Linked DNA regions of Caenorhabditis elegans. The protein of the gene in region 2 interacts with the protein of the main gene of each other region in a pairwise test. Each region holds a gene or a part of one and is shown on either strand. Other genes may lie near its edges. The genes, in order: T20F5.6 and txdc-9.

What was found.
Region 1: the proteins of txdc-9 (region 2) and T20F5.6 interact in a two-hybrid assay, tested with the Caenorhabditis elegans proteins (one large-scale study listed by BioGRID).

The regions. Positions count from the first base shown.
Region 1 is NC_003279.8:3,923,080-3,927,003, reverse strand, and holds the start of T20F5.6 (RING-type domain-containing protein), read left to right. Parts: upstream 1-1,841; 5' UTR 1,842-1,880; coding exon 1,881-1,950; intron 1,951-2,353; coding exon 2,354-2,653; intron 2,654-2,889; coding exon 2,890-3,078; intron 3,079-3,215; coding exon 3,216-3,306; intron 3,307-3,356; coding exon 3,357-3,429; intron 3,430-3,924. Other genes in the region: T20F5.7 (RING-type domain-containing protein), read left to right, coding at 1-411, 1,028-1,167.
Region 2 is NC_003281.10:6,429,854-6,433,645, reverse strand, and holds txdc-9 (Thioredoxin domain-containing protein 9), read right to left. Parts: upstream 1,469-3,792; 5' UTR 1,466-1,468; coding exon 1,377-1,465; intron 1,334-1,376; coding exon 988-1,333; intron 860-987; coding exon 668-859; 3' UTR 501-667; downstream 1-500. Other genes in the region: vps-16 (Vacuolar protein sorting-associated protein 16 homolog), read right to left, coding at 1-102, 155-240, 311-405; mrps-17 (Small ribosomal subunit protein uS17m), read left to right, coding at 1,854-1,958, 2,007-2,086, 2,196-2,493; Ribonucleases P/MRP protein subunit popl-1, read left to right, coding at 2,745-2,807, 2,856-3,074, 3,122-3,316, 3,690-3,773. UniProt on the Caenorhabditis elegans protein: Required for normal microtubule organization and function. Regulates tubulin acetylation in ALM and PLM neurons.

The DNA.
Region 1 (3,924 bases), on a different chromosome or scaffold from region 2:
CTCGAAGTAACCGAATGGAGATTCATGTTGCATCGAAAAAAGATCTTGAAGGACCTGAATTGTATCTTCGTAAGGATTCCGAAGGAAATACTCATATTGTTGTTGCTGGACTGACGGGATCACCAGCAGAAGTTATGAAGTTTATTACTGAAAATGGAATTAGTATTGAGACGGGAGTTCTGATGCCACAAGTTGTGTATGATGAGGGTCGCACACGTGGCGGGACTGAAAAGTTTGCGAAGGTTAACAGCATGGCAGCTGGTCAATCTGCTATCAAGTGCACAAAGCCACCGGTTAAACTCGAAGAGCTGGAGTTTCATAAGACATTTGAGCTGAAAGTAAGCGAGGAATCTGGATCACTTAAGATGGAGCTGGTGCAGAAAGAAGAAGTTCCGAAGAATGGATTTGGAGGTTGGTATAGTTTTTTAAGACTGAGCCTCAAGGGCGGTGTCGTCGAAAAATAGTAGAATATCGAAAAACAAACATTTTCGATTAAAAAATTCCAGATTTTAGATTGTTCGAAAAATAGCTTTTTAGAAGAAAATCACATTTTTTTTCTTCCTTTTTTTTTGAAAAATCAAAAAAAAAATTGTTTAGAAGTTAAAAAACAATTAAAATTTTTAAATCAAATTTTTAAAAAAGTCGAATTTTTTTCTAAATTTTTCAAAGCTATTTTCCAAAAATTCGCCACAAAAAGCGAAAAAAATATGCAAAAAGAACGGAAAAATTGACCAATCAGCTTTCATTTTAGCTGAAATTAACCCTTTTTCGAAATTTTTATCCGCTATTAAAATGTTTGAGATTTTTAGTTGAAAACTTTTGCTATAAAATTAGCCATTTTCGGGTTAATATTTAAAAAAATGCCGAAACATTTTATTCGAAAAAAAAATTAAAAAATGTAATCCTTCGAAGGGCTTCTGAAAATATTATTTTTCTTTAAAAACATCTAATTTTATTTTCCCAAAAAAAAAATCGAAAAATCCCCCTTTAAATCTATATTTTCAATTTGAAAAAATCAATATTTCAGTGTTCGAAGGATGTATGACAAAACCATCTGCAAAACGTCTCAAAGAGTTTACCGACAGTTGTCCAGGCACTTCAGCCGAAGATGAAGTCCAAGTTATCGAGCCGGAGCCACTTCCAAAGCGTCGCCGTACGAGAAAATAGAATAACCTTCTCGAAGAGATGACTAGAAAATAAATATTCGGGCTTTTCATAATTCTCATCCGCTATTAGTTCTCAAAATTAGAAGTTTTAACCTCATACAAAATGATCTGCATGAAAATATTTCACATTTTATATTAAGTTTCTTTTCTCCTCCACACATTCTTGGTCTCTCCCACCTCCTCCCCGTCCCCCCTCAGCTCTTTCTTTTATCCTGATTAATTTGAATGTTTTTTTGATTCCACGTGTTCTCTTCCGTATCATTTTTCTATTTTTATTTATTACTGTTCCATTCCCCAAATGTTTTTTTCTCGTTTCGTTTCGTTTTCGTGCTCTTTTATTTATTGCTCGAATATTCGAATCGGATAGTCTTTGAGAACCCAATTTTATAAATGCATTCATTTACCTTTTTTTAAATTTATTTTCTGGTTTCTCACGTATTCTGTCGTGACTCCGTTATATTTGTATTCACTACTGTATCAGAATTCTAGGTAAATTTGCCTTTTTTCGATGTTTATAAAAATGAGTCGGCATTAGTACTGTGATTTTAAAGGTACATGACGAAAAACGACCACAAACTTTTACTCCGCTGCGAAACCATTTCGCACAAGCGTGTCCGCTCCCTTTAATGTCCTACTGATTTTCTTTTGAAATTACATTTCTTTCAAGTTTTTCAGAGTTATTTCCTTCAAAAATACACCGTTTTAATTTCTCAAATGGATCCGTTCGACATTGATGGTTTGAATGTTCGACTCCGTGACCTGCAAAGACAATTGCAAGACGACAGTAAGTTACTGAATACGAAAAATTTTGAAATTCAGTTTCCAGCGATCAATACCTGTTGCGCCACGTTGTTGCAACATTTTTCACTTAAAATAAGTGTCAAAATATGGAAAATCTCTCAATTTATCTGAAAATAACCTTTATTTCAGCTGAAGCATTTGAGAAAGTGCTTAAAAATGGCCTGAAAGGTGTCAATTGTCGATTATCGAATTATAAAACTTGAGCTTCATTTTTCCACACGTTTTCGAATGTTCAGGTGTTATTTTCAATTACATCAAGTGATTTTCTATTTTAACGCTATTTTTAATGAAAAATGTTAAAATAATAATAGTGCAATAGGTAATTTTGTAGAATTGCCTCCCACTCGTCCTTTATTTTAATCAATAAATAATATTTTTTATTGCAGTGGAAGAGTTCCGAGATATGGCCCAGATGGACGATTTTGCTCATCCGTTTGGAGGAATAGATGCAGCTATCAACGTCGATGATCCAGTAGATGATGCAAATAACGATGAGCCAGCAGCTGGAGCTGAAAATGTTTTAGACCGGGAAGATAATCAACCTCAGCCGGAAGCAGTTGCCACGCCTGACGTTCCGAAGGCAGAAAATGAAAAAGAAAAGGAGGATGAGGCGGACGATACAATTTTAACGTCGAAGGGCACCGAAATGAAAGGATTGTCGTGCGGAATCTGTTATGACCCGTTTAGTTAGTAGTTATTTGTTGAAAAACATTTAAAATTAGCCTTGACTTCAGAAAAACCAGAAAAAAAACGGTAGAAATCGCAGAAGAATGAAAAATTCAATTTTGCCTCAATTTGGAGCAAATTTGGTCAAAATTGAAAAAATCGTAAATTTTGTTTTATGGTTTTTCTAATTTTAAGTCGATTTTTAAATTTTATTAAATTAAAATCCCTTTAATCCCGCTAAAATGTAAATTTTCAGACACCGGCAAGCGTATTCCAAAAGTGTTTCCATGCGGTCACACGATTTGTCTCCAATGTATCAAAAAACTTCTCAACACCAGAACTTTTCTCGGCGGAAACACAGTCATCTGTCCATCGTGCCGACAAAATACTCGCTACAGCTTAACCACCCCGGCCGATAAGATTCCAACTAATTTCTGCATTCAATGTGAGATTTTATTTTAAAATTTGGCTTCAAAAATCGAAAGTAGTTCTGAAAAACGAAAAAAGTTGGAATTTGAGACTATTTTGAAATTTTTTGAAGCCAAATCCCTTAAAAAAAACAAAAAATCGATTTTTTTTCAGCATTGTTAGAGCAAAGACAGCAGGAGAAATCAACAAAAGAGCCGGAAGCTGTGAAATGTACCGAGTGTCACACGACAGTGAGCGCTATTGAGTAAGATTCTTTGAAAAAAATCGGTTTTTAATTTATATGAAAAATTTCAGAGCTACAACATGCTCAGACGAAACGTGCCAGAAAGAGATTTCCGAGGAAGAATTGAAGAATGTAGACAAAATTGTAAGTTTATATTTAACGGAGGCTTATGATGTTAAAAACGTTTAAATTATAGAAAAACATAGAAATTTTCTGAATTTTTATGGTTTTTAGAAAAAATTTTGCAAAAAAAAATTCTGAATGGCTGAATTATTTTTGAATTCCTCAGAAAATGGCCTTTGGTTTTTTTTTCCATTAAAAAAATAATTTGTAATTTTTGAGATATTTTTTGGTAAAAAACTTGATATCCGGAAATAAATAGCCAAAAAAAAAATCGAAAATTGAACATTAATTCAAATTTTTTCGCGGAAAAATGCCACAAATGGCGTATATCTAGAAAACGCAAAAAATATATACGTTCAGGTCATTCTTGAGCACTTCCTCCAATGCTTCAGCAGAAATAAATATTATTTTCAGATAAATCAAGTGATTTTCTACATTTTGACACTAATTTTCAATTTAAAAAAAATCTGGGACCAAAAGTGTTTTTCCTTTTTTTTTCAGAGAAAATCGAAAAAT
Region 2 (3,792 bases):
TAAAAACTGGTTCATTGAATGCCATGTCTCGCTTCAAAATTCTTCCACTGATGGTTCTGATCCAAATGTACCAGGAAGCTGGACGAGGAGAATATGCGACAGCTGAAAATTTGATACGTTTTGTATTTAAAATTTAATAGTAAGAAAAAATTACCGATTGGACCTGAGAATTGGCAAGCCGTAAAGTAAACGACATATTTGAGATTTAACGAGTTTGTTCGTAGATACTCTTGTGTGAAACTGAAACCGAAGTGTTCGAAAAGTTTCGAAGTTTGGGAAGCCCGTGTAATGCCGAAAAATTTAAACTTACTACAGCTGTTGATCTCCCAAAAACACTGAACTACTCGGACGAAGACACAACTCTCCATCTAGTTTTGGTTTTGATGGAGCATGAGACTCCCCCATTTCTGGAAATACATTATCTTAATATCTAAAATACTTATTTTACATTAAAAATAATTCTGGATATTAACCGAACGGCTATTTTTCATTTTTCAAAGGATAATATGCTCTTTATTTGCGATTACGAAATTGTGAAAAAGGTAGATAAAACAGCAAACACGGGAGGAGGAAAGCGAAAAAATGGGAAATTATGTGAGATCAAAATGCACATAATTATCAGCAAATGAGAATATGAAAACAAGAAAAAATCATCTTAAGATGGCATCTACCAATCCTCTTCGTTATCGTACTCCTCAACTCCTGATCTAATGATTTTCTTTTTTGCAGGAGCTGTATGCTTCTTCTCGACAGTCAATACTTCAGATCGAGCCAATCGGTTTTCCATGGTCTCGGTGGTAAACTCATCTTTTCCTCCCAATTCATCAAATCCACGAATGTAATCGACGGTTTGTTGCTTCTAAATTTATTTTTTTTTAACTAAATAATCTGGTACAGATGCCAACAAAACTCTATGAAACTAGTCAGATTTGAATTATACAACTTCAGAAAAAAAAATACTATAGCAGGAACCACATTCAAACTTACCACGACGATAGCGATGCTTGGAATGACACGAATATTGAGACGAGTTGTCAGGAAATGAACCTTCTCGGCGTTGACATGTATGAATCGTGTTCCAACATGCTTTCTAGCCAAGATCTCGAAATGCTTATCCACAATTTTGCATCGGAAGTTTCCAGGTAAGTAGAAAAGACAGACAACTTTATCGCTTTTCTTTGTAGCTTCGAAGAACTCCTTCTCGTCAGCAACTTCCTCGTATTTTCCGTGCCCATGAGACAACATCTCAATTCTGTCTTTTTGAGCTTTCTTCATTTGTTCCATCCGTTGACGACGAATTACCTCAAGATCGTCTTCTTCTAGGTTCTCAAGTCTAAAAACACACATGACAAACAGTTTCTACATTTCAAAATTACTTATTCATCTCCTGGTCGATCTGTTCCTCGACAACTTGAGCTGCTCGTAAAAGCTGCTCCCCAAACTGCTGTTGAATATTAGCGGCCATTTTCTGAAAAATTTAACAGAATTAAATTCAAAATTTAGGAAATTGGAAAGGGAAGACGGCATAATAAGAGCGGAATAAGAGGCATATGACCACCTGGAATTCTAATTACACCCTTTTTATGCCTGAAGGACCATAAAAATCGATAATGAGAAGCTACGAGAATGTTTGGAAATTCCATGAATTTATTCCAAACAATTATTTCTAGCTGTTCAGTAGAGCACACTTGTATGCTTGCACGAAACTGTGCAAACACCATCACGTCAGAATGCACACACACTTGGCAACAATTTTAATTAAATTTTATTCTTAATTTTCAGTTTTTTCGGTTCAGTTTGTATTTAAAAATAATTATTTTGATTTAATTCTTCTATTATTTATTGTGTTTCAGATGCCGAAGACCTCTGTGTGGAAAACGCGCGTTGGAACGCAAATTTTGATGGGTAAAATCACCGACATCACTCAAATTGGAATTGATAGAATTCCATGTGCTCAAGTTGGTTCAATTCTTGAAGACTTTTCGAAGTGTATTGTATTATTTTAGGTAAGATGTCAGATGAACGAATTCAACATCTATCTGAAGAAATATTTCGCCCGATCGTTCGACTTCTGGGCTCTCGACAAGTGAGTTTAAAAATAAGTTGTTTAAAATACCTGTTTTAGAATTACTGCATTTTCTCTGAACTGAATTTATCAATGTGAGAATTACATTTCAAAATTGAAAACATTTTAGAACATCACTTGGAAACATCGGAGATACAGTGCTCATCAAGCAGATCGATGGTTCTTCCCGCCCAAAGGCCAACGTCTCTCATGCTGTTGACCGTGTAGTGTTTAAATTCGGAAACATTGTCGATCCAGTCACAGGACGCAAAATATTCAACGACACATTCGCCGATGAGATTGATTTGAAGAAGGTTTTAGTGGAAGAAGTTGTGGATAAACCATTAGAAGAAGAATCAATGCTATTTGAAGAGAGAAGAGCCCTACAGATCAGAAGATTAGAACAGGAAAAAGAGGCAAATGTGTAGTTTTTGAATGTTCTGAATTTAGACGTTTGATCTGTTTTTACTTTTTGGGAATAGTTAGTTCGTTGTTGTTTATTGTTTGTCGATATTTACATTCAAAAATGAAATGTTTCTTTAAATTTTATTTTTAAAACTTTATACTTCAAGGTTGACTTGATCCTTGTATATTTTTCCAAATTATTTTTTATAATTTTATAACTACAAGTAAATTCAAATTCAAGATGGACATCTCACGTCCGGTGGTTGAGAAACCTATGTTTATAGAAGTCGAAAAGTTCGTGGAAGCTCGAACAAATTCCATTGCACAGCTACTAAAGGTAATTTTTACAACTATAATCTTCAATTCTTCCAAATTTAATTTTCAGGCTATTGACAATGACGCCCTTGTGTCTGGTGAAGTCACAAAAGGTCCAAGAACTGCTGCTCAAAGATTGCCACGTCACATGAGAAGAAGAGCGATGGCATACGATATTCGTCGATTTCCAAGAACAATGAGAGAGTTTGCAGCAGCACATTTAATTTCAAAACATGCTAAAAAGTGTCCAAGTCGGTTTGCGAGACGAAAAAGTGCAAATTCTCGAACAGTAAGAACCCAAATTAACTAAATACTAAATTGCTCGTTTTTTTCCAGAAATTTGGCAGAAGCACCAGTACAAAAGGTATCTGGCTCTCGACACATGTTTGGCATGCGAAAAGATTTCGAATGATTCAAAAATGGGGTTTCAAACTCGCGGATCGCAGCTTTCAACGTGGATTTCGAGCAGTTTTAAGAGATTCTAACAAGAATTGTGTGATTCGAGATAGATCATATTATACATGTGTTACTGTAAGTATTGAAACCAAAGAAAACATTAAGTATTTAGACGTCTAGATTTTTTTCCTCTTAACATTTAACATAAAATTTAGAAAAAAATCTAACATTTTCGTTTTCCCTATATTTCCAATAAAAATTTCGATTTTTCGAAATATAGCTTTAAATTTTCCTCATTTTTCTTTTCTTTTTTAAGACTTTTTTTCATTTTTTATCAACAGTAAACAAAATTTGGTAAAAATTGAAATGTTTCCGATACTTCCATTTTCCATAAAATCAGATGACATCTTTGTTTGAAATAGTCCGAATTCGGATTTTATTTTTCCACTTTTAGTATGCTTACTATTCAAAATCTAAAATGCTTACTATTCAAAATCTAAATTTTCAGATTCAATGCACCGATGCTTATTCAAAAATCTCCCAGTTCTCACAAAAAGGATGTCGAGGGCAGTCATCACGCGATGAAGAAGAGGTAATCATTGAGAGGGAGA